Arabidopsis thaliana: one gene and its partners. The protein of the gene in region 3 interacts with the protein of the main gene of each other region in a pairwise test. Each region holds a gene or a part of one and is shown on either strand. Other genes may lie near its edges. The genes, in order: EMB1135, AT3G60670, LOV1 and HDG2.

Region 1 (7,268 bases), on a different chromosome or scaffold from region 3:
GATAATAATATTATTTGTATGGCCACGATTCATCGATCAAACGGGATTAGTCAGTAGATTTGATTTTGCTTTGGACAAAAAGTAGAACTGAGAATCGGCGAACTCTTGTTTTATTTATTTTATTATAGAACAATAGGTAAATATGTAAATATCTTCAATGCCTACTTACGTTTATATTATACGTAATAATATATTATAGTCAACATTCAAAAGCCTTGTTTTAGAAATTTTAGCCAAATACCCGTTATTATACACTTGAATTTAAACGTAGATTATTCTGGAGGCGGCTCTTAAACTAATTATCTGGAGGCTCTGGATTAATTTATTTTCTTAAATTCGTGGATATTTTAGATACTATTACCATCAGTCTTGTATATATATATATAGAGAAAGCGATGATGATAAAAGTATAAAACTATTGACTCCAAAAAGAGAAAAAATTTTTAAAAAATGAATTAGATGTTTTCATCCTTACCCACAAACGATTCATAGTAACGTCAGGCTCATTATCCACAGAATAATCACACCAATGTCATCACTATCTAAATTAGAAAATGTAATATCAAACAAAATTGGGGAATCGAAATTGGTTAAATTAACAGAATTTGCACTGGTCTGATTATTTATACTCTGATTATTAATATAACACAGAAAAGCATTACTCTTTTTCTTACACGCGTTTATGTTTTCAAAAAGAAATATTTATCCGATTACAACAATTATATGGAGTCATAACACTGTAAACAATTTGTACACCACATTTTTAGAAAATAAAAATTTAACTTGATTACAACGTGGAAAAGTCAACACTTTCCGAGCTTTCCTTTTATAAAAGGAGGACGGAAGACTCGCCGTCTCAAATGCTTCCACAAAACAAAACAAAACAAACAAGAAATCCCAACAAACAAACAAACAAAAAAAGAGAGAAAAAGAAAAAAGAGAGGTGAAAACTCGTGCAACATGGCAGAACCAACTCAGCCGCTTCTGACCGATTCCAACTCGTCATCACCGAGATCTCTCGACGACACAATCGAGAGTTACATTGGAAGCTTTGGGTGGGCTCAGTTTCTTCAAGCGGCTTTAGTCTCATTCTCCGGTGTTTTCGACGCTCAACAAACTTTCATCTCTGTGTTTACAGACTCCGAACCCACGTGGCACTGCACCGACTCGAACTCGATCTGCCATGAATCCATCTCCAACATCTGTATCCTCCCCAAAACCGCATGGTCTTGGGATTACTCTCCTCACGTCTCTGTTATATCCGAATGGGGTCTCCAATGCGCCGGCTCTTTCGTCAAGGGCTTACCGGAGAGTTCTTTCTTCGTCGGATGTTTAATCGGAGGTTTGGTTCTCTCAACACTTGCTGATTCTTCCTTGGGTCGTAAAAACATGTTGTTTCTGTCCTGTCTCGTTATGGCGATATCAACGATGCTAACGGTTTTCTCACCAAACATTTGGGTTTACGCTGTTCTTCGATTCGTTAATGGATTTGGTCGAGCGACGATAGGGACATGTGCGCTCGTTCTTTCGACGGAATTAGTTGGGAAGAAATGGCGAGGACGAGTAGGGATAATGAGTTTCTTCGGATTCATGCTTGGCTTTTTGTCTCTTCCTTTGATGGCTTACATGAACAGAGGAAGTTCTTGGAGGATTCTCTACGCATGGACTTCGATTCCAACGATAATATACTGCGTTCTTGTTCGGTTTTTCGTTTGTGAGTCTCCAAGGTGGCTTTTCGTTAGAGGCCGTAGAGAAGAAGCTATTTCGATTCTCAAAAGGGTTGCTTCGATTCCGTCTACTGATGTAAGCAGTGGTGGTGCAATATCTATGAGTTTTTCGAGCTTACCTTTTGAAGAAGATGAAGAGAAGCCTAGTACTAATGTTAACATCTTCACGACCATGAAGGTGTTGGTAGAGAAAAGATGGGCGCTTAAGAGATTATCCGCGGTAATGGCCATTGCGTTCGGGATTGGTTTGGTCTATTACGGGATGCCTTTAGCGTTATCGAATCTTGATTTCAACATCTATTTAAGTGCAGCGTTTAATGCGTTGATGGATTTACCAGCGAACCTCATCACGCTTTTCCTAGTCGATAAACTCAGTAGGAGAAACGCGCTTATCGGATTTACGGCTTTAGGTGGAGTCTCTAGCGTTCTCATATTTGCGTTACATAATATGAGAATTGGAAACCACGGGGCGTTACAGTTGGCGTTAGAGCTAATCTCTTACTTTAGCGCGTGTTCGGCTTTTAACATGGAGATGATATACACGATCGAGCTGTTTCCGACATGTGTGAGAAACTCGGCTATCGCAATGGCTAGACAGGCTTTGGTGCTTGGTGGAGTTTTCAGCCCTATTATGGTAGCAGCTGGTCGGAAAAACGCGTTCTGGTCGTTCGGATTGTTTGGTCTTGCTATAGGTTTGTTGGGATTGTTTGCAGTTGGATTGCCAGAGACTAGAGGGAGTGATCTATGTGACACTATGGACGAGGAAGAGTGCAAAGACCGGCGGAGTAAAGTCGCCGTTAATAATGTCATTGCATGAAATGGTGAAGAATTTGAAAACACATGTGAAATTAATGTAGATTTAATTTAGTATTTATCACTTGATTACATTAAGACTTACCACATATCTTTTTTTTTGGTTAGTTGAAAAGTGTTTCTAAGAATGAGCCATCAAAGCACCACTCTGATGAAACAATCTCATTTTACAGTTTACACCTATAACACATGGATTTCTTGAATAACAAAATAATTCAAATTTGTCTCGTTTGGATATTGATGCCGATGGTTAAACGTTTGGCTGTTTGATTTTTGTTAGAGATAATTGTGTTTCTGTTCTAATTTTCACACGTTGTGTGAAAATGAATCGTTCCAATCCCAAGAAAGTATATTCATTGGGGTTGTTGGTAGTTGGCTGTTTGGTAATTGAATGGGAAGAACAAACCAGACAGAAATTTGTACACTTCTTGGTAGATATGTTTAAAAGGTTTAATTTACAAATAGGCCCATCTATCAGCCCTTTTGTAACCCTTTTAGGCCCAACTAAGTGGTCTCAAAGTTCACAAACCCAAAACTTATGTGGATTTATTATTTTAAGCCCACACAAACTAACGAACGGTGAGCTGGCAAGTCACGTGATGACACGTGATCCATCAACCCATCACTTACCATTACCCCAACCGGTACGGAAGTGGTTTTGTATCTTCCTACTTCGACTCCTCTTGGGTAATTATAATTAGTTTTAGATGAACCAAACAATCCCAAAATAATATTAGAAAAAGGGAAGAAAATCTGAAACCAAAAAAAACGAGAAGGGAGTCGAAGAAGAACCTTTCGCGCTCTGACGAAATTCATTACTTACACTGGATTTATACTTTTTTTGTCTTCCTCTCTCAATTATCTCCTTCAACGCCACAAGATCCTAAGGCCTCTCACGGATCTCTCTTAAGATCAATCGCCGCGGCTCATGACGCAGTCGCCTGTTCAACCGCCTCCGCCGCTCCCAGCTCAGCCGCATTCCGCCGCCGGAGGTGTAATAAGAGGCGATGTACAGGTTAGGTGCGCAGGCTGTCGCGTGATTCTGAGGGTGAAAACCGGCGTTGTGGAGTTCTCGTGTCCGACTTGTCAACTTCCCCAAATGTTGCCGCCGGAGCTTCTTTCTAGGGCACGGCCGCAGTTTCCGCAGTCTCCACAACAACCACCACAGCCAATTCAGACGCTTCCGCCACCGATTCAACAGCAGCTTAAGCCTCTTAATCTACCTAGGCCTCCGGTTCCGGCACATGGAATCGATCCGACGAAGATGCAATTGCCTTGCGCTAACTGTCAGGCTATCCTCAATGTGCCTCATGGACTCACTCGGTTCTCGTGTCCTCAGTGCCATGTCGAGCTCGCTGTTGATGTCTCCAAGCTTAATCGGTCTTTAACTGCTTCTCAATCTCATTCTAATCCTCCTACTCCTGCTGCTCCCACAGTCCCGCCTCCGCCTCCTCCCGAAGAAGTCAATGAGGAAGCTATTGAAGTGGAGAGAGAAGAAGATGAAGGTGGAACGGCTGGAGAAACGTTTATGGATTATGTGAGTGCCTCATCTTGAGATCATCTTTTTCTGTCTGTTCAATGTTTTTGATGATACTAATTTGTTTCTTTGTGAAGCGTCCCCCAAAACTTTCGATCGGACCTCCTCATCCTGATCCAATTGTGGAAACATCATCTCTATCTGCAGTGCAACCCCCAGAGCCTACTTATGATCTCAAAATCAAGGAAGAGCTTGAAAGGTCAAAGGCTTTATCGTGTTTGCAGATTGAGACATTAGTTTACGCTTGCCAGGTTGCTTTTAAATGGCAAAAAGTTTGGTTAATGGCATTTAAACGTATCTTCTACCTGTATGACAATGGTTTTTTTTTTATTACAGAGGCATCTCCAGCACCTTGCTGATGGTACCAGAGCAGGCTTTTTTGTTGGAGATGGTGCTGGTGTGGGCAAAGGGCGAACAATTGCCGGGTTGATTTGGGAAAATTGGAAACATGGAAGGAGGAAAGCTTTGTAAGTCTTGTAGAAAGATACTTCTGCGCCATTTACATCCTTGATAAGATATTGTTAGCTCAATTCAATCTGACTTATGATTATACTACATTTGCATAATTGTGTCTACGGTGTCCTTTTTTGGTTTCTTAGATAACTTAAAGTAGGATGAGTTCTAATACTATTTGCTCCTTTTCCTTTATGATTTACATAGGTGGATTTCTATTGGCTCAGACTTGAAATATGATGCAAGAAGGGACTTGGATGATGTGGGTGCTACATGCGTTGGAGGTATTATCTTGATTTTGGCTGTAAATTAAGTTTGTAATTCGCTTATTTTCTTGGGTCACAAATGCTTCATATGTTATACATAATTACATATAGCTTATGCTATAAATTATTTTCTGGCTCATTGTTGAATAGAAAATTTTGAAAGTGGATGGTATAGAGTAGACTGGATCAGAATGAGATTCTGACTTTGCTGAATGGATAAATTGACTCATGCTTTAATATTACGATGTAGAGTACACATGTATTTTTAGAGAACTTATTTTCTTTACTGATAAAGGTAATGGGTCCCTGAACTTTGTTTATGGTGTCTTCATGCCTAGAGAATGTTATGGGTAGCTGATGTTTGTGCAGTTCATGAAAATTTCAGGTAAATAAAAGTTGGACTGTAACTTTAGAATAGTCCAATAGGATATTTGATTCTTAGTCTCATTAATCCTTTATAGGTTTGAGCTTGGAATTTTAATAGAATATTAGGAGATGGAAAAATACGACAAATCAAGGGAACCATGTCGATGGATAAGTTCATTCAAGTGAACAAATGTCCAGTTTGTTTTTTCTGCAACTAAATAACAATATGTTTGACGTGCAGTGAATCCTTTGAACAAGCTACCCTATTCTAAGCTTGACTCGAAAAATGTTGGTATTAAAGAAGGAGTGGTATTCTTGACATACAATAGCCTCATTGCTTCCTCTGAGAAGGGCCGTTCTCGTTTACAGCAGCTTGTTCAATGGTGTGGACCAGAATTTGATGGTCTCTTGATCTTTGATGAGGTAACAGTTCTATGAATGAAGTATATTAAATTATTTGCGTTAAAATCATCATCCCCCTTTTTTTGTGAATTGAACAATTTGAGTATACCCTGTCGTTGTAAGTTGCTTGATCACTGGTTTTATCAATTTTGGGCCAACCTCTAATCTTTAGTACATTGTGCAGGTACTAATTTGTTTTCCTTTTTTATAGTGCCATAAAGCGAAAAATTTGGTACCTGAAGCTGGGAGTCAGCCGACACGCATCGGACAGGCAGTTGTTGACATTCAGGTCTGGCTACTTGAAACTGAATGTTCTTATCAGTGTTGCTTTTAATATTGCTCTTGGCTCTGAAGAGTGAGAGATTATATACTTCGACTTGTCTTTTTGGGTTGTACTTTTTCTCGGTTTCAGATAATATAGTGTATATTCTAGTTTAACATGCTTAATTTGTGGTTAGTGCCATCTAGTTGACTCTAACTAATGAATTCTGGAAAAGCAGGATAAGATCCCCCAAGCACGTGTTATTTATTGCTCGGCTACTGGGGCATCAGAACCACGAAACATGGGTTATATGGTCAGGCTTGGTCTTTGGGGAGCTGGAACAAGTTTTAGTGATTTTAACAAATTCCTAGGTTGGTTTTCTTTTCTACTCCTGTTGATTAATTGATTTTTTTTTTTTTGTGTGTGTGTGTAACATTTGGATTAGTACGTTCTATCTTATAGTTCGATAAACATGAATTCATTTAAGTGTCAGGTTTTAGCTTCTGTCTAGAGCATATACAAAATATTTCATTAAATGAAGTTTGACCGCATTCACTGAATTCTAATAATTACTTCGCTTCTCTTACTCTACCTTATGCATTGCATAACTTGGAATGGAACTTTAACACAACTTTGTGCAGGTGCCCTTGATAAAGGTGGGACAGGAGCGTTGGAATTGGTTGCCATGGATATGAAAGCGAGGTTTTACAAGCCGTGTCATACTATTTAGCCATTTGCATTGCTCATAATTCATTCTAACACCCCTTCTATGTAATAGGGGGATGTATGTATGCCGAACCCTGAGTTACAAAGGGGCTGAGTTTGAGATTGTTGAAGCTCGTTTAGAAGCAGGAATGGAGGTAAATCATCTTCTATCTAATATTATGTTGCTTGATTGCTTCTCATATCTTAATTGACTATCTAGCTCTATATAAATGTCGTGTAAGCTCAACAAAGTAGTATATATGAAGAGTAGGGGGTCTCTGAGGTAGCTTGAACCAAGTTCTTACATTAATTTCTGTCTGCTTTATTGGGATTAGATAATTTTCAATGGTGCTTTGATATTTTTTGGCAAGCAAGCTCATTATTTCGAGTGTTCCCCTGTTTATAGTTTAGAGATCCCTGTCGAAAAATTAAAATCAGGACTTTTGTGCTGTATTACTCGCTTTCTTCTGTAGGCAATGTACAATAAGTCTGCAGAATTTTGGGCAGAGCTACGGATAGAGTTGTTGTCAGCAAGTGCTTTTCTCCCTAACGAGAAACCAAATTCTAGTCAGTTGTGGAGATTATACTGGTCAAGCCACCAGGTATAATCTTACCACAGGCAAAAGTTAGACAATGTTATTACTGTTGCTGATTGGTCAATCTATTTCATGTCTGTTACTGCAGCGTTTCTTTAGACACCTGTGTATGTCAGCTAAAGTCCCTGTAACTGTGAGGTT
Region 2 (6,525 bases), on a different chromosome or scaffold from region 3:
AAGCACTTGTAAGCTAATATAACTCATCAACCACACTGTCTAGATGATAGTATCCGTTCACTAGTGAAAACATTGTTATAATCTTTGATTGTCTTGAAACTCTTATATGCAGAAACTACGAGATATCGTAACAGAGCAAGCAGTGAAGGGCAAACATTTCTTTCTTGAAACTGACATGAAGGGACCAAGTTTGAAACTAGACAACACAGGAAAAGCAATACTTACTGTAAGTAACTAATATATCTTCCCTTCATTTCAAAATTTCAACAAAAAAGAAACAACATTTTCATGCTTCCTTAAACTCTTCACCAGAGTTAGACTAACATCGATAACACATGCTTATTGTCAAATTTTGATGTGTCTATTAACAGGTTCTTCGCCACCTTGGTCGTATTAGTGAGACTCGCATTGGACAAAACCGCGTCATCATTCTTATGAAGCCTCACTAGAAACCAACCAACTTGCCTCAAGTAAGTTGTTCATTTTCACAAGCGTAAGGGGTAATTCCGTCATTTTTCAATAGTTTCTTGCTTCTTCTGAGCTCCTTGTACCATAGAATCATAGAAGGTCTACTGGTCCCTTAAACATCATTAAGCCTTAATCTTAATCCTTAAGACCGGCCCGCCTGACAGGCCCAGCTAGGCCCAGGATTTGAATTTATAATATGGACAAAAATGTTTAATGCAATTTTCACATTTGCATAAAAGTAGAAAAACTCGATTTCCGTTATTTTCATAATATTAAAAAAGCAATTTCTCTAAGCAATCTGGTTCAAGTTCCAGTGCACAAATGGCCTGTCCCATTCAAACCTACAAAGTAGCAAAACTCGGTTTCCGTTTTTATTTAGTGACTTTTTACCTCCACATAGTTTTCTTAATACTCCAATACCTTTAAGGATCTTATCTGTGTCACTGTCTATTCGTAAAATCAATAGATAGTAAATTGTAGCTGCCATACATTTATCTTGATACGGACAAGTAAATTTGGCAACATTATTTTCCGAACAGAAGAAGAAAACAAATCTAATAACCAAGCGAAAACGACGATCCTTGCATTATTGTTGTTCATATGTCCTGAAATAAAAATCAAGAGGCACTACGAAATGGGAAGAAGAAAGTGGTCCAGGGAAACAGGAGAGAAAAAAAAAAGACTATTTGCCTCAGAAACATTCACAATTTCACGTTTATCCATAATGTCTGTTCCAATCTCTTTGTCTTCTTTTTTCGTATAACCAATAACCAATTTTAGTCGTCTTTCGTTCGTGCAAAACCCACAAAATACGTTATGCATAAAGACAAAAACACACACTATACAGTCTTATCGCATGCATTTTTTAAAGAAAATTCACATTTATTACCAACCAACTGATATCAAATAATTAATTAACATGTTTACTATTTTGTGAGTTGTGACCTAAATTTTATATACATACAAGAAAGAAACATTCATAAATTTTCTGCAGACCACATTTAGACTTATAGAGTTCTCCATCACTACCATTTTACTTCTTTTATTTTCAAAACGTATCATTTAACTCAGCCAAGAAAGATATGGTCGGTCTAATGCATTTAATGACAACAAATATTAATCCTTTAAGAATTTACTTCGCCGCTGTAAATGTTAAATCAAGCCGTCTCAATAGTACTGAAATTGCTATTCGTGGAGGAAGAGGTATTTTTAAAAAATTATAAAAAATGGGAAGCAATAAAACGGATTATACGAAAACATGTTTCATTATACGAAAAGTATTTAAATTAAATAACATAGAGTTCTCTCATTACGCGGTACAGATATCAGAGTCAGACAAAACCAGGAGAGATCTTTTCAACTATTCTTAATTCCATTTCTTAAAAAAACCTAAAATTCGATTCGTTATTTAGAGATATTGATTAACAATATAAAATAAGACTATAGTAGTTACGTGTATTCATTCTACTTACCACTTGGACCAACCAAATTTCGCCAAACGTCACGAGTTAATAAAGCGGGGCGCGTTGCGGCGGATTCTTCCGACGGTTTAAAAAGTTCACCGGAGCTTCCGTGTTAGTCGTTGAAACCACCTCCGTGACTCTCCTGCAAGTCGTCGACAAGCTGCTTCTTTTCTTCCTAACGATTTCAGTAGTGGCGGTGCAAGCGAGCGCCTGACACCAGAACATGTCTTCTCCTTCGTTACCACTTGACTCGGAAGATGTTCGGTTCGACCCGGTGGGCTCGAGAGTGGAACTCGGTGTCGTTGTCGTGACTTCGTCGGTTAAATCAAGAACGTTGCAGACGCGGAGAAACCCTGAGAGTCCTCTTTGTCTCATTATGACGTCACTAATCTACATAAAACAAACAAACCATGTGTTTGTGTTTTCAGCGACAATTACGTGTAAATATGATCGTACACGCGTGTTTATATTAAAAAGCAGAAAAACAACAAAAACAGAAAGAAATTGAATTGTGTATTTTGAAAGAATTTGAAAAATAAATGAGACAACAAATAAAAACGTTCCTTTTTTATCTGACGACAATTTCGTGTACTCGTGCATCAAAAAATGAAATTTCTAAAAAAGAAGATCGACCCAGATGAAGAAAAGTGGTAAATCGGACTGGGTATGTGATAGAATTTTAAATGAAAACTTAATTAACGAAGAAAAGATGTTCCTTTTAAGTAATTAGAACAAGAAAAAGCAGACCTTGCAGGAGAGACAGCAGAAGAGGTAAGGAGACTGGAGACTCCGGTCACAGGTGATACAAATGTTACCGGAACCACGAAATTGTCGAGACTGAGGCCGTTCATTGATGAACACAACTTTTGAACTGTTCGTTGTGTATGGCTTTAATCATCATCAACACATACACACACACAAAGAAAAAGAAAAAGACAACGAGTATTAATTAAAGCTGTCAAAATTTTAGGGCACAAGAACCAATGAAAATTGGACTTTTAATGTATACAATAAACGGATTAAGAGTTTTATCATGATAATTAAATACAACCAGAACCGAGTTATACCTGAATTAAAGAGCAATCCATTAGCTTAGAACCATCTTCAACCCTCAAAACGTCTCTATACACGTATCTTCTTATCTGCGTAAAGATTCCCAGAAACACACCAAGTTCATATTTTTCTTCCGACAAATATGAAGATTTTTGAAACCATTAAAAAAAAGTTTGTTTATTTTAAGAGAGAGACCTGAAGAAGACGATGAGAGGTATGAGAAGAGAGACAGTGAGGACAGATGGTAAGACAACAATCGATACATAATATGTTCTTCTCGTTCTTCTTATCATCTTCATGATCCAAACAAGCGTTGAAAAACTTGTCTTTTAACAGAACCTCAAGCCATGCAGGAAATTCTCCAGATTCCATCTGCAAAATACCAAAAAAAAAACAGTAAACTTTAAAGACGAAACCCATACATGAATCAAGACCCATGTTTCAATTTCATGTTTTTTGGACTAAAAAGGTAAAATTGAGAAGACCCACCTTGGCTTATCTTCTTCTGGTTATCTACACTGGGAGGTGGTTTTCTCGGGGAAGAGATAGAGAGAGTAAGGTCAAGGTCAGGCGATTTTGAGCTCTCTCAGTGGTGAAATTGACTGACCATTCTCAGAGAGAGAGAGAGAAAGAAAGAAGGAAAGAGAGAGCGGCGCCTGGAGAGAGTGACCACTAGCTTAAATTCAAATGAGTCTTCTCTTCTTTCTCTCCTTAATGATGTGTTGTAATCTTTAGTATTCGTTAATTAATTTGTTTTGTTGATTATTTACTCTCATTTAGTTTTATCCATTAGTTAGAGAAGTGGTTCACTTAGATACGTTACTAACTTACTACGTAATGACTACTACTAGATAGCAGAATTCGATTATGAGTGTTGAAAAGTAACAATTTTGGGTTATTTATCATTATTAAGTACCTTTTCATTGACAGATACAGTTCCAACTTGACAAACAGAAGTGTATATTTATTAGAATTCAGCTTGGCAATAATAATAAATTTTATATTTACTGTCATATGAAAAAACCTTTTTTTTATATACCGTGTGAATATGAACTTTATATTATAATTAATAATTAAATTTAAGAAAGCATTTTCTTCAGAAATAGTATTAAAAAAAATTCAGTCCTCTGGTATGTGACAGTCGTCAATATCAAAATTTTAAAGCCAAATTCAGAGTTTTAATCTCTCTTTCTTTAGACAGAAAAAAAAAACTCTCTTTCTTATAACAATATGAGTTGGGTTTTTAAAAAGAAAGTAAAACGAGATTTCTTTATACAACCAATTTGATTTTCCTGTATCGTCTCTTCATGATATAATTGTATGTGTTGTTTTTGTTTAGAAGGTCTGTCTGGTTCACTGTGAAAAAGTGCTAAATGACAAGACTCTCCCCAACAGTCTACTTTTCATTTGATCATTTCTAAGTGGCGATTTCGTAAACCCAATATAACCTACTAAAAACAAATTTCTCTTTTTACTACTACGTGTATTTCGTTCAGTAAAAATGTGAGAATAAATACCCAAATTAAAGCTAAGCACCGTTTTATAATTAAAAACATTACCATCCACACAAAAAAATAAAAATAAGCTTCATTAATAATTAAGAAAACATAATTGTAATAGCTAAATGAAGTATATGATTGATACATTGAATAGAGGAAGAAATAGAGAGCAAATTCCAAGAACCCTAAGACCCATTGTCACAGCTGTAGACTGTTCTCGAAAACCAGTGCAAAGTTGATGGGATTTATTAGTTATTGCTTATACTACTAAACTTACCTACGTACCTCACTAGACCACCTATTATTATTTTCATTTTATTATTATAAGTAAAATAATCTCTCAATTTTTGCATACAAATTTTTAAAAATGAAAAAAAAAGAATATGAGTGTATGTATAGAAAGAGAGAGAGAGAGAGGGACAGAGAGGTGGATCAGAGTTGGTACGGAGGAGCAGCAGCAGCAGCCTCAGGCAGAGAAAGAATGCGACGCCACTGCTTTCTTTTGATCTGATCCGATTCGATTTCGATCCAGCTGTCCCCTTTTCTCGTTAGCCTTTTAGTTACTATTGATCATCAGGGGTATTTTAGTCAATTTACGATATCTACATGGGCTGGGGCTTTTATCCTTTATTTGGGCTACTTACGATTGTTTGTTATGGTTGATCCACATTTCTCCTTAATCGAATTTAAAACATCTGGGGTGGTCCTGATCACAACAGCACGATTGGTGTTATTGATTTAGTCAAAACCGACGTCGTTGAAGAACAAACTTTGATCTAACAACCGAAATCGTTGGTAACCAAACGGTCAAATGAAATCAAGGGAAAGTGACATACGACCCTCAATTTTGTCTTTGTATTTGATTTTATGTCCCACAATGTAATAAAAAAGATAACTATTTCTATATGTCATTGTGGAATTTAGACAGAATGATATAATAAACAAATGTATCAATGTAAAATGTTATTTTTTTTTTAGCGGGATCAGATTACAAAAAGTTACACAAATTATTAACTTAAAAACCTTTCACTTTCAGCATATACTCGAACACGGTAAATGTAAGGTGCATCACTAATTCACTACTTCCTCTCTTAAAAAATATAGGATACTTACATATTTTAAGATTTATTTATTTATATCAAAAACTATAATCTAATTTTTTATTTTTTTTAACCAATAATATAAGAGACTTCATGATACAAATGGTCATAAAATATCAAATGTAATGAAAAGGTACATTAAAATTTGTTCTATATATAAATTAACTTAAATATATTATTATATATATGAATATTTCACTAAAGTAAATCTAATGTAATAAATTCAGGGTGATTGTAAATATGATTTAGCAATTATACAATATCTAAATAGATTAGGTGAAGTAAAAAAGTGATAATAAATATCATTGAAGTTTAAATTGTCAGTAGTTTGTACAAAAAAACATCTAGACATTAATATTTGATAAATTTAATGGTAACAGTTCGAACATAGTCTGGTTATTCTCATCGGTTTTGAACACAAACCACTGATACTGGTCTTTATTAAGCTGACAACGCAAATTTTGAAAGTTACTTGATACTATTAAATCTTTTAGATACCTTTGATAGTCTTATGGCGTTTTCGACCGTGAGGCTTGTTCAGGATTGTCGATCAAATCTTTTTTTTTCAAATGTGTTGTTCTCCCATTTGTACTTTCTTTGACTATACCACTCACCTAACACACAAATACATGGACTCTCTATTTAGCTTATGCGGCAACTCTTGAATATGACAAAATAAAAATAAAAAAATCAAACTTGTTTGATATATTTTTAAAGATTTTGTACAATTATCTTGATCTTCGAGATATAATTTAGAATATTGTTAGTGGTTAAAAGGATCACAAAGTATTGTCAAGAAAAAAGAAAGAATTAAAGCAAGAATTTGAGAGATGAGTTTCGAAAGACATTTGTTAAACAAGAAAAATAGAAAAGATGAAAGATGAAAAAAAACACAAGTATCGTTTCTTTCTAGTGGTATATGTGAAAAAGATACAACCCTTA
Region 3 (7,704 bases):
AACCCAAAGTTTACAGAGTAATGGTACAACAATTACCAGACGAATTATCTTCTTACAGCTTGGTTAAATCAATTGCTAAAGCACAAACTAATGGCGTGTATATATATTGCATATTTAGCCAAATAGTAAGCTTGAAGATTCTAAGACTTTCAAAGTAATCCCTTGCTGAGTTGCTATTATGCTGTATATGTACAATAGTATATAATAATTAAAACTTTAACGAAGACAAACTCATGTGAAAATGTAATAATCAGAAGACAAAATATAAGTTAATAATATGTCATATATATAATAATAGAAATATATGTTCTTTTCGAATTAAAATTAAAAGGTCTTAATTTTTTACAATTGCAAAAACTTTAAACTGAAAAAATGATTTAATCTTCTGGAATGTACATTATATAATATCCGCCACCCTACTTGCTACCCCTAGCTAAAAGCCAAACCGATGGAAGACTCGCTTGCATTAAATTATGCACTAGCTTAATCTACTTTTAAACTCTCTTATAATACATTTAATTCCTAATTTCTATCGCCATTTTATATTTTTACTGATATCAATATTCGAAGGGTCCATGCCTATGATTCCATGTCATACATAATATTTCCTTTCATACCTACATTCATTTTAATGAAAACCTTAAATATATATCCAAAAGCTATACATTTATGTAAACTAAACTGGTATAATAATTTTTGAAATATGTGTATGTCTACTGATTTACTATTTGATTAGTTCGTAGTAAATATATTATAAATTGTTTAAACATAAAAACAAAAAAAATCATGTAACTAGATAATTTTCTTGACGAAGATTCGAATTAACAACACAAAAAAGTTCATTTTCTGATATCGCAATGGTCTAATTAATGGTTGTTGAATAGTTTATCTTTTCCACGTTTCATAAGCTTTTTTGGTACGCGACATCCATATTGAAAAATGTCTGTCTACACTGAGCTCAATCCAATGAAATTTGTTGTGAATGAGATATATGCATTCACGGATTTCTAAAAAATATGAAGTCCATGACATCCATTGAAACATTTGACAAAATAAAAATATAAAATATGAAGTCATTACAACGTAGAGTAAGGTTTCTAAAAACCCCACTCTCGTTTCGTAGAAGCCCCACTACCACCTCACTTTAATTTCATTCATTATCTCATTTACGTTGATACTTTAAATTCATTTTTCCATATAAACTTGTAAGTATGAAATTTGTACTTAGTATATATTTTATCTATCTTTCCATGATGAACTTAAATATATTACAGTTTGCCTAGCCTTTTTAGCTCAGCTATATATATATATATATATGCTAATGTTGTTACGATGTTTATTGTTTTGTGTCTATATCTTATTTACTTTTTTGAATTATTAATAAAATGGAACAATTATACATATAGATTATAGATACATATATCTAAATATAATATATTGTATCTATATATATTAATACAAATTTTAAAGAACTGGCGGGTTTCTAAATTCTAACATATGTACTGTAAGTTCAGCTTCTTACTAAGTCATAGGAACATGGAGAGCGTTGGCAAAATCATGGTCAGTTTGTTTTGCATTCATAATTGAAGACATAGTAGTATCATGCAATGAAGATATGGTGGGCCAAATATATCATAAAAAAAATAGCGAAACAATAAGAGAACGTTCGTGAAGCTGAAGCATATGAAAAACACGTAAATATATTTATGACGAGTGACATAGTAAGCATACGTGATATTATTATTTAATTAGTAATATAGGCCACCAATCAGAATTCTTTGTCTCAACGATGAATAAATTAACTATAATAATCCAAATTTTTAACATTGTTTTAAGAATATCCGTTATTCAATTAGTCTACCTATAACAATGAATTATTATGGATCCTTTATCGCTATGCCTTGATCAGGAGAATTAGATTAGTTACACTTTCGCAATTTTTGTAGCGATGGATTGGAACAAAAACCAAAACAAAATATAGACTATTTACACATAAATTATACATGAAATCAACTTAATTTGTTATTCTCTAAAGTTTAGATTGTCTTTATAAAATACCAATCATATACCTAACTAAAACTAATGAATCTTTAACGTGCATGAGATGGTGCATGTGCAAATAAAACTATAAAGAAAACCATGATATATTTTTTCTAAGAATGATAGTTTTTGGGAATTTTAGACTTTCGGTCTATATTTTTCGTATGTCCACACCAATTGTTGATATTGCATTTAAAACATTAATTATTATTTTTTCCAAGTATAATTGAACTAGTAACCATGAGGTCCATGACATCCATTTGAAAGATGTCAATTCGTAATATTGTTTCAAAATATTTTTTCGTTTATAATACATAAACTTTAATTTTTCCTGTAAAAGATATCAACTGTTCTTTTCATTTGTGTTACAACCCAATAATTATTAAATATTTGAAACTTTAGTATTTAGAAAAAATACATAAAACTAATAGATAGATATTTTATTTTATTTTGAAACAAAAAGCTAGAAATGGAGAGTGAGAGAAAGGTCCAAAGGCACGGCTAAGAAAACAAAACCGTGGACACCCTGTCCTCAATTTGACAAGTCTTTGTCTCCTCCTTAACTCTCTTCTTCTCTCTCTTTGTCTTATTCTAGTTTGGTCTCAACTCCCAAAAACGATGACGTTTCATTCCTATATAGTCGTCCTCTCTTCTTCTTCTCCTCCTCTTATCTCTACTCAACACCACTCAATTTCATCTCTCTTTTTCCCTTCCATTGTTAGTATAAAAACCAAGCAAACCCTTAATCACTTTTCATCATCATATATCACCTTAATCCACATGCATACACATATCTAGTCTTTTTGATATATGGCAATTGTATCCTCCACAACAAGCATCATTCCCATGAGTAACCAAGTCAACAATAACGAAAAAGGTATAGAAGACAATGATCATAGAGGCGGCCAAGAGAGTCATGTCCAAAATGAAGATGAAGCTGATGATCATGATCATGACATGGTCATGCCCGGATTTAGATTCCATCCTACCGAAGAAGAACTCATAGAGTTTTACCTTCGCCGAAAAGTTGAAGGCAAACGCTTTAATGTAGAACTCATCACTTTCCTCGATCTTTATCGCTATGATCCTTGGGAACTTCCTGGTAAATATACATTCACATAAACACACATAAATCATCTCAAACTATTTGGAAATCTTAATTTCTATTCATATGTTAAGATCTTTCTTCTCTCTTATCACTTTCTCTCTCTATTTCTTTTTTTTTAACCTATATATGTACCTACCTCCTTATGAAGTATTACTATGTCGATCGTTAACAATTCTCAATATCTTTAAACGCTTCTCCCTCTTTAGTTTCTTTCTTAAATTAACCTAATTAAACAACCTACATATATATCATAAGATATACAAATATGTGTATGTTTTCATAATTAGCTTATGTATGTTTAATCATAGATATATGTATATGCAGCTATGGCGGCGATAGGAGAGAAAGAGTGGTACTTCTATGTGCCAAGAGATCGGAAATATAGAAATGGAGATAGACCGAACCGAGTAACGACTTCAGGATATTGGAAAGCCACCGGAGCTGATAGGATGATCAGATCGGAGACTTCTCGGCCTATCGGATTAAAGAAAACCCTAGTTTTCTACTCTGGTAAAGCCCCTAAAGGCACTCGTACTAGTTGGATCATGAACGAGTATCGTCTTCCGCACCATGAAACCGAGAAGTACCAAAAGGTATAAATTCTACTATAACTCTATATATATCCTATTCATACATACATAGATATAACCCTAGCTAGGTGGTGAGGCCTTTAAAATTGAAATTAATCCCTAGACAGTTTGAATTTTTTCTTTTTTGACTAGTTTTATTTATTTATTTTGGAATTGATTCGATAAGATCAAAAATACTTGTGAATGGACTAAATGTCAGGCGGCGTTTGCGCTTAAATCCAGAAAAATGTTCATGTCATATGCGTGAACTCTTTAAATTGCTAGACATGGCCCATATGTTATAGTAGAATACATTAATAGATAGATGCATACACATATATATAAACACACAAGTATCACACTCGACATTCATATACCTTAATTCTGCAGAGACATAGTTAGTTTTTCTTACAATTTATGACATGAATGTTCCTGCTCTTCCTCACATTAATTCATGTCTTCTATTTAAGTTACCCAACATTTTTTGAAATAATTTGGCATATATGAATTATACCAACATATTTATATGCGAACATTTAAAATCTATACGAATGATAACGGTTTATGGAGTAGACCGAAAAAATATTATGTATACGGAAAATGACAATGGATAGATAAATACATTTTTTGGGCTCTTTCGACTTATATGTCGTCACCATTTGAAACCATAAATTTATAAAATTTTCTATGTATATATATGATATTATGATGTATGCATAAGACAGCTAAAACAACAGGGTTGACATAATTATCTATGTGTATGTATTGCACATTCACTTGTACTAATAAAACTAAAATTACGCAATTAAATATATAAAAAATAATAAATATAATCATCTTAATTATATTTGCATTGTTACGTCATATGATAGTACTCTAAATTTCTTCTAAACGTGCTATCTTTTTTTGCTAATGCTAACTTTACATAGTTTGTGAATCTTCTTTCAAAACCATATCTTCGATAAATGATATTTTTCATAGATATTGTTAGTCTATATTTGATAATTTGATATATGTATCAAGTCTCTAATCAATGTGCTCATGTATAATTATAGGCTGAAATATCATTGTGCCGAGTGTACAAAAGGCCAGGAGTAGAAGATCATCCATCGGTACCACGTTCTCTCTCCACAAGACATCATAACCATAACTCATCGACATCATCCCGTTTAGCCTTAAGACAACAACAACACCATTCATCCTCCTCTAATCATTCCGACAACAACCTTAACAACAACAACAACATCAACAATCTCGAGAAGCTCTCCACCGAATATTCCGGCGACGGCAGCACAACAACAACGACCACAAACAGTAACTCTGACGTTACCATTGCTCTAGCCAATCAAAACATATATCGTCCAATGCCTTACGACACAAGCAACAACACATTGATAGTCTCTACGAGAAATCATCAAGACGATGATGAAACTGCCATTGTTGACGATCTTCAAAGACTAGTTAACTACCAAATATCAGATGGAGGTAACATCAATCACCAATACTTTCAAATTGCTCAACAGTTTCATCATACTCAACAACAAAATGCTAACGCAAACGCATTACAATTGGTGGCTGCGGCGACTACAGCGACAACGCTAATGCCTCAAACTCAAGCGGCGTTAGCTATGAACATGATTCCTGCAGGAACGATTCCAAACAATGCTTTGTGGGATATGTGGAATCCAATAGTACCAGATGGAAACAGAGATCACTATACTAATATTCCTTTTAAGTAATTTAATTAGATCATGATTATTATCCATGACAATAATTATTAATGCTGCTTTGCCATATTTTCATACTCCTTATATATTGTTATGGCGATAGACAATGATTGATTACTGCGAGTTTATGTAATGGAACTGATTCTCAACATATATAGTCAATTAAGTAGTTTTTTTTTTCTTGTGTTAAAGTTAATTTCTTTAAGCTAGATTCAACGTAGTTAAAAAAAAAAAATTCACTGTAATATATGAATACAAAATGACTAAGGAGTGCAATCCGTATCAAAAGTTCTCAAACAAACCAAAGAAGAAATAAACTTATTGGATTAGATTTTCATGTACGAGCCCTAACCGAAACCAGACTAAAACCAAACACTAACTAAACCATAACAATAGTAACCGTAAATCCAACCTAGTGATATTTAATTTGGTCTTCATTCCATTTCAAAATTTCAAATTGAATGTTGATATTTTTTGTTGTTTATTCATCACTTATTAGAATTCATTTTGCATTGTCATTTACATGCATTAGATCCAAGATGTTTAATTTTAGTTACCTGTTAGTGCGACTTTATAGATAAACAATCCACTAACTCTTAAGAATTCAACAACTAATTTTGAGATAGAAATATATAAAGATAAAAGATGTTAGCTAGTTTTTTGTCTTTGTAAATATAAGACTAATTAGGGTTTGACAAAAAAAAAAAGCATAGGACGTGCAATATTTGGTAAGAGCAGTTGTTCCCGTGATTTTGTCAGATATGACCAGCATGAACAGTTGTATGTTGTAAGAAATCAGTTCCCTTTTTCTCAATGAGAAAAACAAATTTAAACTTGACTTAACTCTCATACTAGTCTTTTTAATCCTAATTATTAACAATCTTTAATAATATATGTAATGTGGCAAAATCCTAATATATACTGACTTGAATATGATACGAAAGTACTAATTTTAAAGTTTTTTCCCTTTCTAACCGGTCGATGTAACCGTATTTGCATGTTTTCTTAGATTATTTTAAATAATATATGTCTATCACCTATATTAGTAAGTATATATTCATAGATTATAGTTGATTTTGCCCAAAGAAAAAAGAAGATTATAGTTGATTATACCACATCATTGATATTCTGTGACGAATTAGATTACAGTTGCGGTAAACGTATTCGCTAGCTAGTACGACGTGCTTAACGCAAAAATATTCAAAGATAACGAATCCGATTAATATTGGTTCGTTTCTTAATTCTTACATCTAGAATCACACATAAAAACAATAAAATAATTAAAAATTTGATGAATTTTTTATTTTTTTGAGTGATAAAAGGCAAAATGTTTTCCGTTTTTTAGTAGCTTTCTCTTTCAAAATATCTATTTCTGGTGTATATCGTGAAAAAAACTTTCAAAATACGTGAATGTGATGATCGTTGAAAACTTCAAATCTCATTTCCCCTAGGTTACTATAAAAGCCCACTATCCTTTAATGGGCCAGGCATGCTATTTCTGTACAATACAAGATGGACCTGAATGTTTTAACTTTTAACTTTTATCTTTAAGGTCAAGTTAATTGAAAACAAAAACCAAATTTGTGGATCAATTTGGATGCCTCAGCCTACGTATAAAAACATGTTTTTTTTTCGTAATATTAATGGAAATGAATATGTTAAAAAAAAAAAATACATGTTTTTTTCGTCGACACTTTTAAAAATAAAATAAAATTTAAATAAATGTCTTTGACCAAAATAAAAATAATGTAAAATTTGGGAGTGGGGAATGTAGCTCGGAAAAAAATAGGGTATGTAGATCGGAATTAATAAATAGATTTTATATTATTACATAAACAATAATAAAATACACAATGTTGTCTTTATTTAATTAATACAAAAATAATAAAATAGACAATGTTGTCTTTATTAATATTACTTCTCAGCCCCAAAATTAATCTTTGATCGGTCCCTTTTGTTTTATCGTTTTAGGGTTTGTAGCTCCTTTCTCTTTTTTTCTTTTCTCAATTTCCCCCAAATTAAAAAAAAACTCTCTCTTTCAGAGATTTACAAATTTCATTTCTCCAAATCCGAAACCCCAAAGTGAATATTTTTCCTTCTGGGTTTCTTTTGTTTGCCTGGAAACATTTGTCTCAGATTTTGATTTTGACCGGAGTACTCATATTCTCCGGCGATTTCTCCGGCGACATCGTTTGTGAAATGGAGGGAATTACTCATCCAATACCTCGTACTGTTGAAGAGGTCTTTAGCGACTTCAGAG
Region 4 (10,025 bases), on a different chromosome or scaffold from region 3:
TCCTGTGAAGTTGTAGAGACGACTGTTGACGAGAGCGCAACTAGAGATTCCAATGGTGTGACCCCCTACTCAAGAAACCATTTTTGTTCAGCTTTCAAATTGATAACTCTTTTGAGAATTGCACATCATAAGGTGCCAGCTGCAGACATACCTGAGAGAACCACAAGGTCTTTAGCGTTAAGACCCTTGTTGGCAAAGTTCTTCTTCAGCGTCTTTATGTCGGCGAAAGGAGATGGTAAATTTAGCAATGCATCGTTCAATTTCGAGATGCGTCCATCCCTGCGGCCCAATGGAACCGGCCACCATGGTCCCCCGATCTGTTCAAAGACAATTAATAAGTTATATACATACTATAGTCTTCAGTTTTGGAATGACAAAATCACTAGTCCATTGCGAAAATGGAATGTTACCACTGCCACGGCATCTCTGGCGACCAAGGCAAGAACATCAGCGCAAGAAATGAGATTAGGACACTTCCTCTCCAGCGCTGTCTTGGCCGCATCCACCACTTCATAACCTTTCAGGGTCAGGTTGGGGACAGCGTCTCTTTCCGCATCATTCTTTGCAGATTTCAGAAGAACGGAACCATCACATCCCTACATGAATCATTACAAAAGAGTGTTAGGACTAGCTAGTTTTTTCATATCCCTTGGTTAACAGTCTCGAACAAGTGAACCAAGCTTACTCTGACGAAACAATCATGGAAATGCATCCTTAGAAGTTTAGCGGCAAGGGTTTTCTGGCGAGAAACATATTGTACTGTGACACCACGAACAATTTCCTCTGCCTTGGGACACTTAGACCGGTAGTAGTCGAGGTCAAGCAACTGTGGAATGGCGACAGAAACTCCAACCACGCTAAGAAGAACCACAAGGGCGAGAATGTTCTTGATCGCCATTACCGTCTCTCTCTCCTTTCTTCGTTGAGTGTTTGCCAAGTAAGGTGAGAACGAGCTTTGGAGATGAAGATGAAGGAGACATTCTCAGGCCTTTTATAGATCACCCAGCGGCTTTGAAATAGTCCATGGAGAAATGCCAAACAAGATTTAGATAATCCCATTTGCATTTTTCCTCTGTTTCTTAATGAGGGTTGAAATACAAGAGGAGCTCGAGGAGGACATTGCATGGCCTCCACTATCTTCTTGATCTCTGCTGGTGCTGCAATTAAATATATTAAATTTCCACAATTAGAAGAAATCGAAATCATGCAACGATTAAGAAAGCTTCAAATCATCTTTTGCGCTTTGAAAAGCTATTGACTTTGGAGAAGATGTAGTTTGGGGAATTTTTTTATTAGTCCTTAGCTCTCAAAAGTTAAAAACTATAATAAACTGTTATAGTTTGTGGAATCCACGTTCCTGCATTCTCAATGTAAACTATCCAAGTTGCTCAATTCAGTGATTGGATATTACAATATACGGCTAGTTTCTTGTGAAACAAGTCGTCCTATAGACTAATGCAAAACAAAACAAAAAAATCAATCATTTTCCTTAACTAACTTTCCACTCTCGGAGAATGAGACTTTCGGCCTTGCCATTCTCGTTGGGGATAAAATATATAATGGGCCAAAAGTTTACTTCCGTCTTATGGCCCATATACGAAGCCCAGAAACAAAAAAAAACTACGATCTTGAATTTATTACAAAAGCATCCATTTTTTCAACAGAAGAATTCCATTTTGAATCTCAGATTTGATCATATTGGCAGAAAAAACACTAATTGAAATAAACTAAAAGTTTGACAAAAAAAAGAAATAAACTAAAAATAAATATTTGAGACTTACGAGGATGAAACAAACTTAAAATGTGAATAGTATTGTAGCAATTCTTTTTTGAAATAATTAACTTTTAGTGATGTAGCAGGAAAAAAGAAAAAACTAAAAAAAAAAAAAAAAAAAAAAGAAAAAACTAAAATGTTAGGCGTTGAATTACTAGTTTTTTTTAGTAGGAGAGTACGAAGAAGGAAGAGGAGGTTAAAGTGCAAGAGAGGCATGAGAGCAGTAAATGGCCTAAAGCCCATGCAGCCTCTGTGTACACATTTAATGCGTCGAAACTATTCGCCACCCTATCGCATACGTACGTACGTATAACTCCATCTATATATCTGTACCTACATATATACAGTAAAAATCAGAAATAAGTTGGGTTATTGTTTTTTTATATATAGTTATTTTAAAGAATCTAGGTAAAGTATAAACTTACTGAAAAGAAAAACTTGAGTGTTAAAGCTATAGCTATAAGGACTTTAAAAAAAAAAACAAAGCTTAAGAACTAGGTAATTAAATACGCAGTATATTTCTCTATATATTCGCGTGATAAATTAAGATGAATGCATGGCTTTTACAAATTATCACCTTTTTAATGGGTGATCCGTATTTTAAATAGCTTAATTGCACGTTATAGTTATAAATGCTTGGGCCACAAAGTAATTAATATTTCTAGGCATGTAAAATGAAGTCTTACTGTGAAAAAAGTGATATTTCATTGACTTCCTTAAATTGAAAAAACAATTGTTTCGTAAACAAAACTCAAAATTAAGGTGATGATTTTTAGATTTTCTTCTTTTAAATGAAATAAAATAAATACATCACTCAATCAACTTCTGTCTGACTAACAATAATACAACCTAAACTTCTATAATATTTAAGAAAATGCCATGTGGAAGAAGAATCATGAAATTTTCCTTCTTTACAATTAAATTTATAACAAAGATATGAAATAATAATAAAATAAAATAGTTAAAAATATAATAGTCATATTTTTTGAAAGTAAAAATTAAATTTATATCTCATAAAGATAAATATTAACTATAACAAGTCATTGAATTTTAGTTAAAAAACTATATAATTTTTTTCCATATTATAAATAATCTAAGAGTATTAAAATTTCAGAAAATTACTTTTAAAATTGTATCCTTGACAAATGGGGACTATTGTCTAACTTTTTCTGTAAATGGAGAACTGTATTAAAGCAAATTTCAATATAGTTAAATCTTTTTTTAATATAGTTAATTTTGTTAAGTGGTGATTTATTGCATATGCATAAGTTATGAATAATGCTAATGATTTTTTAAAAATAACTACATATCTAATAGATAAATGTAAGTCTCATAGGCTCATAGACCGTTAGCCGTCATTCCTCACCACATTATAATATTTTAAATAAATAAAAAATAAAATTATTTTAGGTTGACATTGTATATAAGATGAAAAACAACACATAATTTTGTAACATAAATAAAATAAATTGTAACATATCTCTCTCTCTCTATATATATATAAGCGTGTAGGATAATTAAGTGTCCCTCTCGCACCATTTAATTTCATTGCACCCTCTCAATTCTCTCTGTCATTACTCTCTCATCTCTCTTCCTCCAAGATTTGCACCTACCTTTCAAACCTTTTGCTCGCCAACAAAACCGCGCTTCACAAAACCATCAGCGGTTTTCCGAGAAACAAATCTCAGACCAGACACCGCTCTACTCTTCTCTCTCTCTCCCTCTAGGGTTTCGTCGCTTCTTCCTATATCCCAGTGTATGTCTCGAAAACCTCATCATTTCTGCTGTTTTCTTTATTTTATCCATTAATTCATGTACACAAATTTATTTGTTTAAAGTATCATTGGATCCATTACACTTCAGTTTTCTTAGCATCTTTATAAAACTCTCACTTTCATGATGTTTTTTTTTTATAATTTAATATATCCTGTATGTTGAATTTTCAGTTAGTCATCTATATTTTGTCTTAAATTTTGCCTTCTTTAGCATTAATTAATTGATTTCTTGCCTCTAATATCTTTCATTCCTCTCCTAATTTGCTTTCTGACTTTCTGATTTATTGTATTCTTCTTTAAATAATCTTATCAATTTCTGCATAGTCAGAGATGAAACCTTCAAGAAAACAATAAAGAGGAAAGATTAAAGGTTAGTATTCCCTTGCCTACCAAAAAAAACAGAAAGGTTTGTATTCTCTTCGTATATCCTTATTTTCATTATACGTTTGGTTTTATATATAAACACGTGTATATACTTTATAGTAGTAGTATACATTTACATATTAATGTGTGTAATAAAAACGTTTAAATACGATGATGATGATAAGAAATAGCTGGAAAAAATTAATACATCACCCAGGCCTTATGTCACGTTGGTTGTAAGTTGTATAATAACTATATGTTGGTCCGTCGCACAGGTGCACAGATATAATACTATTTTTTTCATTTCAATTTTTTTTTCTTTCTTAATCGCCAAATAGTAGTTTACACTTTTTCCTGAAGAGTTTTTATTTTTTGAAAATCTACTAATGATTATATTTAATTAAATTTTGTTTTGTTCTCACGAAAATATTGTTTTTTTAATAAACAGGATAGAGTTGGGAATTTATTTGTACCTACTTTTTCCCATTTTATTTGCTTTGAACAAATGAGTCCAACATTTCTCTTTTCGTCTTCTCTTTCCTATCCCATCTAAATCAAAACTGATCAAAATACCTCGAAATTTTAAATTAAATCACCATCCATCAAAGCTATTATAGTGTAGAAATTTTAAAGTTTTTTCTTTGGACAACAATTGATTTCCATCTACACTACATATGATATGACTCTTGAATCAATCATAGTTTTTATTTCAGTCTGCTGATTAGTTTTTTTCTTTTCTTTTAAAAGGGTAAAAAATCGGTAGTTTCGAATAATTTTGAGTATGTGAAAATTCATTATTTTTGGGTTGGTTATTCAATAACAAATTAATTTGTGATTGTGATGTCTTTTTTATGCAAGGCTCTTTTTTCTTGCTTTCAATTAGTGGGTCCTTTGTTTCCTACAATCATCTCCAATTCTTCTGTTTGCTTATATCATTTTGTATGATCTTCAAGAAGAAAGATAAACGACTCCGAAGAAAGATTTAAGTTATTGTTGTTCATACAAAAAGAAGGTTGTAAAGTTGTTGACGTGGACAAAAGTATTGCCATATTTTTCCAGCCTCGAAGAAATTTCCCTTCTTCTTCAAACCCTAAATTTTGACAAAACTCTCTACTTTTTTTTGCTTCTAGGGTTTGCTTTCAGTTTCCGGAGTATAAGAAAAGATGTTCGAGCCAAATATGCTGCTTGCGGCTATGAACAACGCAGACAGCAATAACCACAACTACAACCATGAAGACAACAATAATGAAGGATTTCTTCGGGACGATGAATTCGACAGTCCGAATACTAAATCGGGAAGTGAGAATCAAGAAGGAGGATCAGGAAACGACCAAGATCCTCTTCATCCTAACAAGAAGAAACGATATCATCGACACACCCAACTTCAGATCCAGGAGATGGAAGCGTATGTGTTTAACTTACTCACTTACTTCAATTTTCTTGTGTGTTTTTTGACAATTCTTTTGTTTTGGTTGTTAAATAGGTTCTTCAAAGAGTGTCCTCACCCAGATGACAAGCAAAGGAAACAGCTAAGCCGTGAATTGAATTTGGAACCTCTTCAGGTCAAATTCTGGTTCCAAAACAAACGTACCCAAATGAAGGTATACTTTTTATATTATGAACATATATACATTAGTTAATGGATCTATATATATTAGAGAAAATATATATACTTGTTAATTAAATTGTTATTTCATTCATATTAAGTCTTGTATATATACATTGAAGGGCTTATCTTTATACTTAAGAACATTTTGGGTGGCTGGTGTTTTCTTTCAGAATGAATTCATTGACTTTTGGCAGATTTTAGATCTAGTTGAGACACTTTGACTTAAAATTTCTTACTTATTTTTTTTTTCAATTGAAAAGTTGTTCCTTTGGCAGAACTATATATTTGGCGGATCAAGCTATAGAAAATTGTTTGGTTGTAACAACATTGCCTATTTATTATCTTAGTTAGAGCCATATATAATCTATAGATTGAAACGTTTTGGACACATATGCTTACGTTATGCAAATACGGTGAAACACATAACGTGTACACGAGTGTTTTATTTGAAACATACACTTTTCCTCTTTTTAAGTAAAATCCTTTGTTCCTTCGTTTTACCCAAATTAGAAATAAATCACTTGTATAAAACTTTAGAGATAACCGGAATATAAGTTTTATTTGCGCAGAATCATCACGAGCGGCATGAGAACTCACATCTTCGGGCGGAGAACGAAAAGCTTCGAAACGACAACCTAAGATATCGAGAGGCTCTTGCAAATGCTTCGTGTCCTAATTGTGGTGGTCCAACAGCTATCGGAGAAATGTCATTCGACGAACACCAACTCCGTCTCGAAAATGCTCGATTAAGGGAAGAGGTATGAGAATCAACTATTTTAAATGTTCAAATAATGTTAAGAGTTTTACACTTAAATGTTGTCAAGAAGATAAAATAAAAAATTAGAATTTGTTTTTATACCACTAATGTTATATCGCTTTCACAATAATCATTTCTTTCTTCATAAAATAAAAACTTTTATAGATTTGTATTGAAATTAGAGAATTTAAACATTTTTTTTTCATTGAAGAATAGAAAAAATTATGATATTAAATTGAGATACTAAAACGATATTTTTGGAACTGTAAGGAGTAGTAGTACATAATAACAACATTACTCAACGTTTCTTCTTGTGACCAAACTTTGAAAACCACAAGGATCAATAATCTTTCTTATTTGTCTGTTTTAGATCGACCGTATATCCGCAATCGCAGCTAAATACGTAGGCAAGCCAGTCTCAAACTATCCACTTATGTCTCCTCCTCCTCTTCCTCCACGTCCACTAGAACTCGCCATGGGAAATATTGGAGGAGAAGCTTATGGAAACAATCCAAACGATCTCCTTAAGTCCATCACTGCACCAACAGAATCTGACAAACCTGTCATCATCGACTTATCCGTGGCTGCAATGGAAGAGCTCATGAGGATGGTTCAAGTAGACGAGCCTCTGTGGAAGAGTTTGGTTTTAGACGAAGAAGAATATGCAAGGACCTTTCCTAGAGGGATCGGACCTAGACCGGCTGGATATAGATCAGAAGCTTCGCGAGAAAGCGCGGTTGTGATCATGAATCATGTTAACATCGTTGAGATTCTCATGGATGTGGTAATTAACATTTTCATTTTACTTAAAAGCAATCTTCTCTGTTTAGTTTCAACAACATTGATATGATGTTGCAGAATCAATGGTCGACGATTTTCGCGGGGATGGTTTCTAGAGCAATGACATTAGCGGTTTTATCGACAGGAGTTGCAGGAAACTATAATGGAGCTCTTCAAGTGGTAATTTTTTTTGCTTTTATTCTGTAAAAATTAAATTTCAAACTGAAATAACCACTCTGTTTTGCTTGCAGATGAGTGCAGAGTTTCAAGTTCCATCTCCATTAGTCCCAACACGTGAAACCTATTTCGCACGTTACTGTAAACAACAAGGAGATGGTTCGTGGGCGGTTGTCGATATTTCGTTGGATAGTCTCCAACCAAATCCCCCGGCTAGATGCAGGCGGCGAGCTTCAGGATGTTTGATTCAAGAATTGCCAAATGGATATTCTAAGGTAATATAATAAAAACATTAGGTTATACAAAATGTTTACTTAAGTAGAGAGAATTAATGTAACAGGTGACTTGGGTGGAGCATGTGGAAGTTGATGACAGAGGAGTTCATAACTTATACAAACACATGGTTAGTACTGGTCATGCCTTTGGTGCTAAACGCTGGGTAGCCATTCTTGACCGCCAATGCGAGCGGTTAGCTAGTGTCATGGCTACAAACATTTCCTCTGGAGAAGTTGGCGGTATAACCTACTGTTTGTTTCATAAACAGTTTTCATAATCAGAGTCAGAGTCAGAATCACAGTTCTATATTAATGAATATGCAGTGATAACCAACCAAGAAGGGAGGAGGAGTATGCTGAAATTGGCAGAGCGGATGGTTATAAGCTTTTGTGCAGGAGTGAGTGCTTCAACCGCTCACACGTGGACTACATTGTCCGGTACAGGAGCTGAAGATGTTAGAGTGATGACTAGGAAGAGTGTGGATGATCCAGGAAGGCCTCCTGGTATTGTTCTTAGTGCAGCCACTTCTTTTTGGATCCCTGTTCCTCCAAAGCGAGTCTTTGACTTCCTCAGAGACGAGAATTCAAGAAATGAGGTAACTATTTTAGTTACTACGCTCTCTTGTTCTGTTTTGGACAGAGTTTTGATGTTTTTGTGAGATTTTGCAGTGGGATATTCTGTCTAATGGAGGAGTTGTGCAAGAAATGGCACATATTGCTAACGGGAGGGATACCGGAAACTGTGTTTCTCTTCTTCGGGTAAATGTGAGTTACACCGGGTTTTGAACTATTGTTATAATCATCTGATCCTAGCTAAGAGTTTTCAATCTTTCTTTATGTCACAGAGTGCAAACTCTAGCCAGAGCAATATGCTGATCCTACAAGAGAGCTGCACTGATCCTACAGCTTCCTTTGTGATCTATGCTCCAGTCGATATTGTAGCTATGAACATAGTGCTTAATGGAGGTGATCCAGACTATGTGGCTCTGCTTCCATCAGGTTTTGCTATTCTTCCTGATGGTAATGCCAATAGTGGAGCCCCTGGAGGAGATGGAGGGTCGCTCTTGACTGTTGCTTTTCAGATTCTGGTTGACTCAGTTCCTACGGCTAAGCTGTCTCTTGGCTCTGTTGCAACTGTCAACAATCTAATAGCTTGCACTGTTGAGAGAATCAAAGCTTCAATGTCTTGTGAGACTGCTTGAAAACCATCCATTAGGTACTACTTTCACTAAATATATTCTTCTCGCTTTTACGCCATTATATGATGTAATCATATTTTTCTTCTTCTTTCTGCAGGAAATAACAAAATGGTGATGATGGAAAAAAGAGAGAGATTTCAGTTTGAGAAAAGCGGAGGAGTCAAGATCGAACCTCACAAGAGAATACCATTGAGTGTTTGTTAGTGTTAAGTTTTGGTCTGCTTATTTGATGAAACTAAGCAGTGAAAAACTTTTTACTTGAAAGTGAATATGTAGATGGTTTTACGAGGTTCGGGAATTTGACTTCCCCTGTCACATACTGAATTAGACAAAAACAAAAACTAGGTTAGAAAGAATGCTTTCGGATTTCTTTTTGTGTTACAGTTACTGTTTTTCTTTCCTTCTTGTGGTTAGATGGACCATCATCAGGAATTTGGAGTTTGTCTTTCTTTTGTATAAATATCTTATACAAGTATTTTGGTACTTTTGTAAGCTTATGTGAGTTTGTCTAGGGGAAAGCTCACACTTTTTTTTACCAGACAATGAGTGTCTCTCAAAAGGGCCATTGCCAAGTAAATTTACCTTTTGGTTCTGTTTAGGTTAAGTTCAACCAAGGAATTGTTGCTGAGTTAATACTTGAACAAAATTTCTAGAAGGGATAATGTTTTCACATTGAACATTCATACCATGTGATAAAGTAAAGTTTTCAAATGAGAAATTACCCTGGTTTATCCTCAAGCAAGCTTTCTCCTGGCTAAAACAGTTGATCTTTTGGTCGAACAAGTCACCAGACCACGAAGCATTGCCAGAATTGCAAGACCCACGAAAGGCAAATACGCCAATAGCAATTTGTTAGTCACCTTCTCTGAACCTATCATGTCTCCAAGTATAGCAGCCTAGAGATTCACAAAACACACAAAAACAAAACGTGAAAGAAACTTACAAACAAAGCGGTACAATCTAGCCTTCTCAGAGAAGCAGAGCAATCACATATACTAAAATATAGAACTCCAAAAGAATTTTCGTTTCCAAATCAAGAAAGTTGTAACATTTACAGATCAACAACATCAAAAACAAATATACATAGACTGAGCCAAATGAAAATGAAGAGAAAGAAGAAAATGTACCATGGAAGTGAGGAAAGAAGCTCCATACAACAAAGAAGTGGTACCAAACCACGACTTGCTGGTAAGAATGGCGTAGATGTTGACAATGGAGAGAGGCAATAGGAATATGATCTCATGCCAGACGAGTCCAACGAAGAAAAGAGGCTTCTCTATGAAGAGGTAATCGTTGAACTCAGAGCTGTACCAGTC

What was found.
Region 1: the proteins of LOV1 (region 3) and EMB1135 interact in a two-hybrid assay, tested with the Arabidopsis thaliana proteins (one large-scale study listed by BioGRID).
Region 2: the proteins of LOV1 (region 3) and AT3G60670 interact in a two-hybrid assay, tested with the Arabidopsis thaliana proteins (one large-scale study listed by BioGRID).
Region 4: the proteins of LOV1 (region 3) and HDG2 interact in a two-hybrid assay, tested with the Arabidopsis thaliana proteins (one large-scale study listed by BioGRID).

What each region holds. Positions count from the first base shown.
Region 1 is NC_003070.9:29,849,416-29,856,683, reverse strand, and holds the start of EMB1135 (RING/FYVE/PHD zinc finger superfamily protein), read left to right. Parts: upstream 1-3,217; 5' UTR 3,218-3,468; coding exon 3,469-4,077; intron 4,078-4,154; coding exon 4,155-4,328; intron 4,329-4,413; coding exon 4,414-4,544; intron 4,545-4,737; coding exon 4,738-4,814; intron 4,815-5,403; coding exon 5,404-5,585; intron 5,586-5,775; coding exon 5,776-5,853; intron 5,854-6,064; coding exon 6,065-6,197; intron 6,198-6,467; coding exon 6,468-6,528; intron 6,529-6,604; coding exon 6,605-6,686; intron 6,687-7,004; coding exon 7,005-7,133; intron 7,134-7,215; coding exon 7,216-7,268. Other genes in the region: OCT2 (organic cation/carnitine transporter 2), read left to right, coding at 961-2,544. UniProt on the Arabidopsis thaliana protein: Required for normal embryo development. Necessary to acquire heat stress (HS) memory, by modulating nucleosome occupancy and regulating heat-induced gene expression.
Region 2 is NC_003074.8:22,422,719-22,429,243, forward strand, and holds AT3G60670 (PLATZ transcription factor family protein), read right to left. Parts: upstream 3,652-6,525; 5' UTR 3,474-3,651; intron 3,357-3,473; coding exon 3,180-3,356; intron 3,074-3,179; coding exon 2,999-3,073; intron 2,820-2,998; coding exon 2,679-2,819; intron 2,322-2,678; coding exon 1,977-2,321; 3' UTR 1,718-1,976; downstream 1-1,717. Other genes in the region: AT3G60660 (spindle/kinetochore-associated-like protein), read left to right, coding at 1-8, 113-226, 372-449.
Region 3 is NC_003071.7:645,194-652,897, forward strand, and holds LOV1 (NAC domain containing protein 35), read left to right. Parts: upstream 1-2,344; 5' UTR 2,345-2,811; coding exon of another isoform or gene 2,812-2,850; coding exon 2,851-3,142; intron 3,143-3,284; exon of another isoform or gene 3,285-3,472; coding exon 3,473-3,741; intron 3,742-4,772; coding exon 4,773-5,456; 3' UTR 5,457-5,627; downstream 5,628-7,704. Other genes in the region: AT2G02455 (uncharacterized protein), read right to left, coding at 2,812-3,024; AL6 (alfin-like 6), read left to right, coding at 7,644-7,704. UniProt on the Arabidopsis thaliana protein: Transcription factor that acts as a floral repressor. Controls flowering time by negatively regulating CONSTANS (CO) expression in a GIGANTEA (GI)-independent manner.
Region 4 is NC_003070.9:1,512,075-1,522,099, reverse strand, and holds HDG2 (homeodomain GLABROUS 2), read left to right. Parts: upstream 1-3,199; 5' UTR 3,200-3,530; intron 3,531-3,873; 5' UTR 3,874-3,919; exon of another isoform or gene 3,920-5,042; 5' UTR 5,043-5,075; coding exon 5,076-5,317; intron 5,318-5,395; coding exon 5,396-5,513; intron 5,514-6,090; coding exon 6,091-6,279; intron 6,280-6,648; coding exon 6,649-7,062; intron 7,063-7,136; coding exon 7,137-7,238; intron 7,239-7,309; coding exon 7,310-7,510; intron 7,511-7,537; exon of another isoform or gene 7,538-7,575; coding exon 7,576-7,750; exon of another isoform or gene 7,751-7,834; coding exon 7,835-8,106; exon of another isoform or gene 8,107-8,179; coding exon 8,180-8,275; coding exon of another isoform or gene 8,276-8,296; exon of another isoform or gene 8,297-8,355; coding exon 8,356-8,712; 3' UTR 8,713-8,726; exon of another isoform or gene 8,727-8,800; intron 8,801-8,806; 3' UTR 8,807-9,199; downstream 9,200-10,025. Other genes in the region: AT1G05240 (Peroxidase superfamily protein), read right to left, coding at 1-65, 152-317, 411-596, 686-898; AT1G05220 (Transmembrane protein 97, Putative), read right to left, coding at 9,444-9,605, 9,837-10,025. UniProt on the Arabidopsis thaliana protein: Probable transcription factor. Involved, together with PDF2, in the regulation of flower organs development by promoting the expression of APETALA 3 (AP3) in the epidermis and internal cell layers of developing flowers.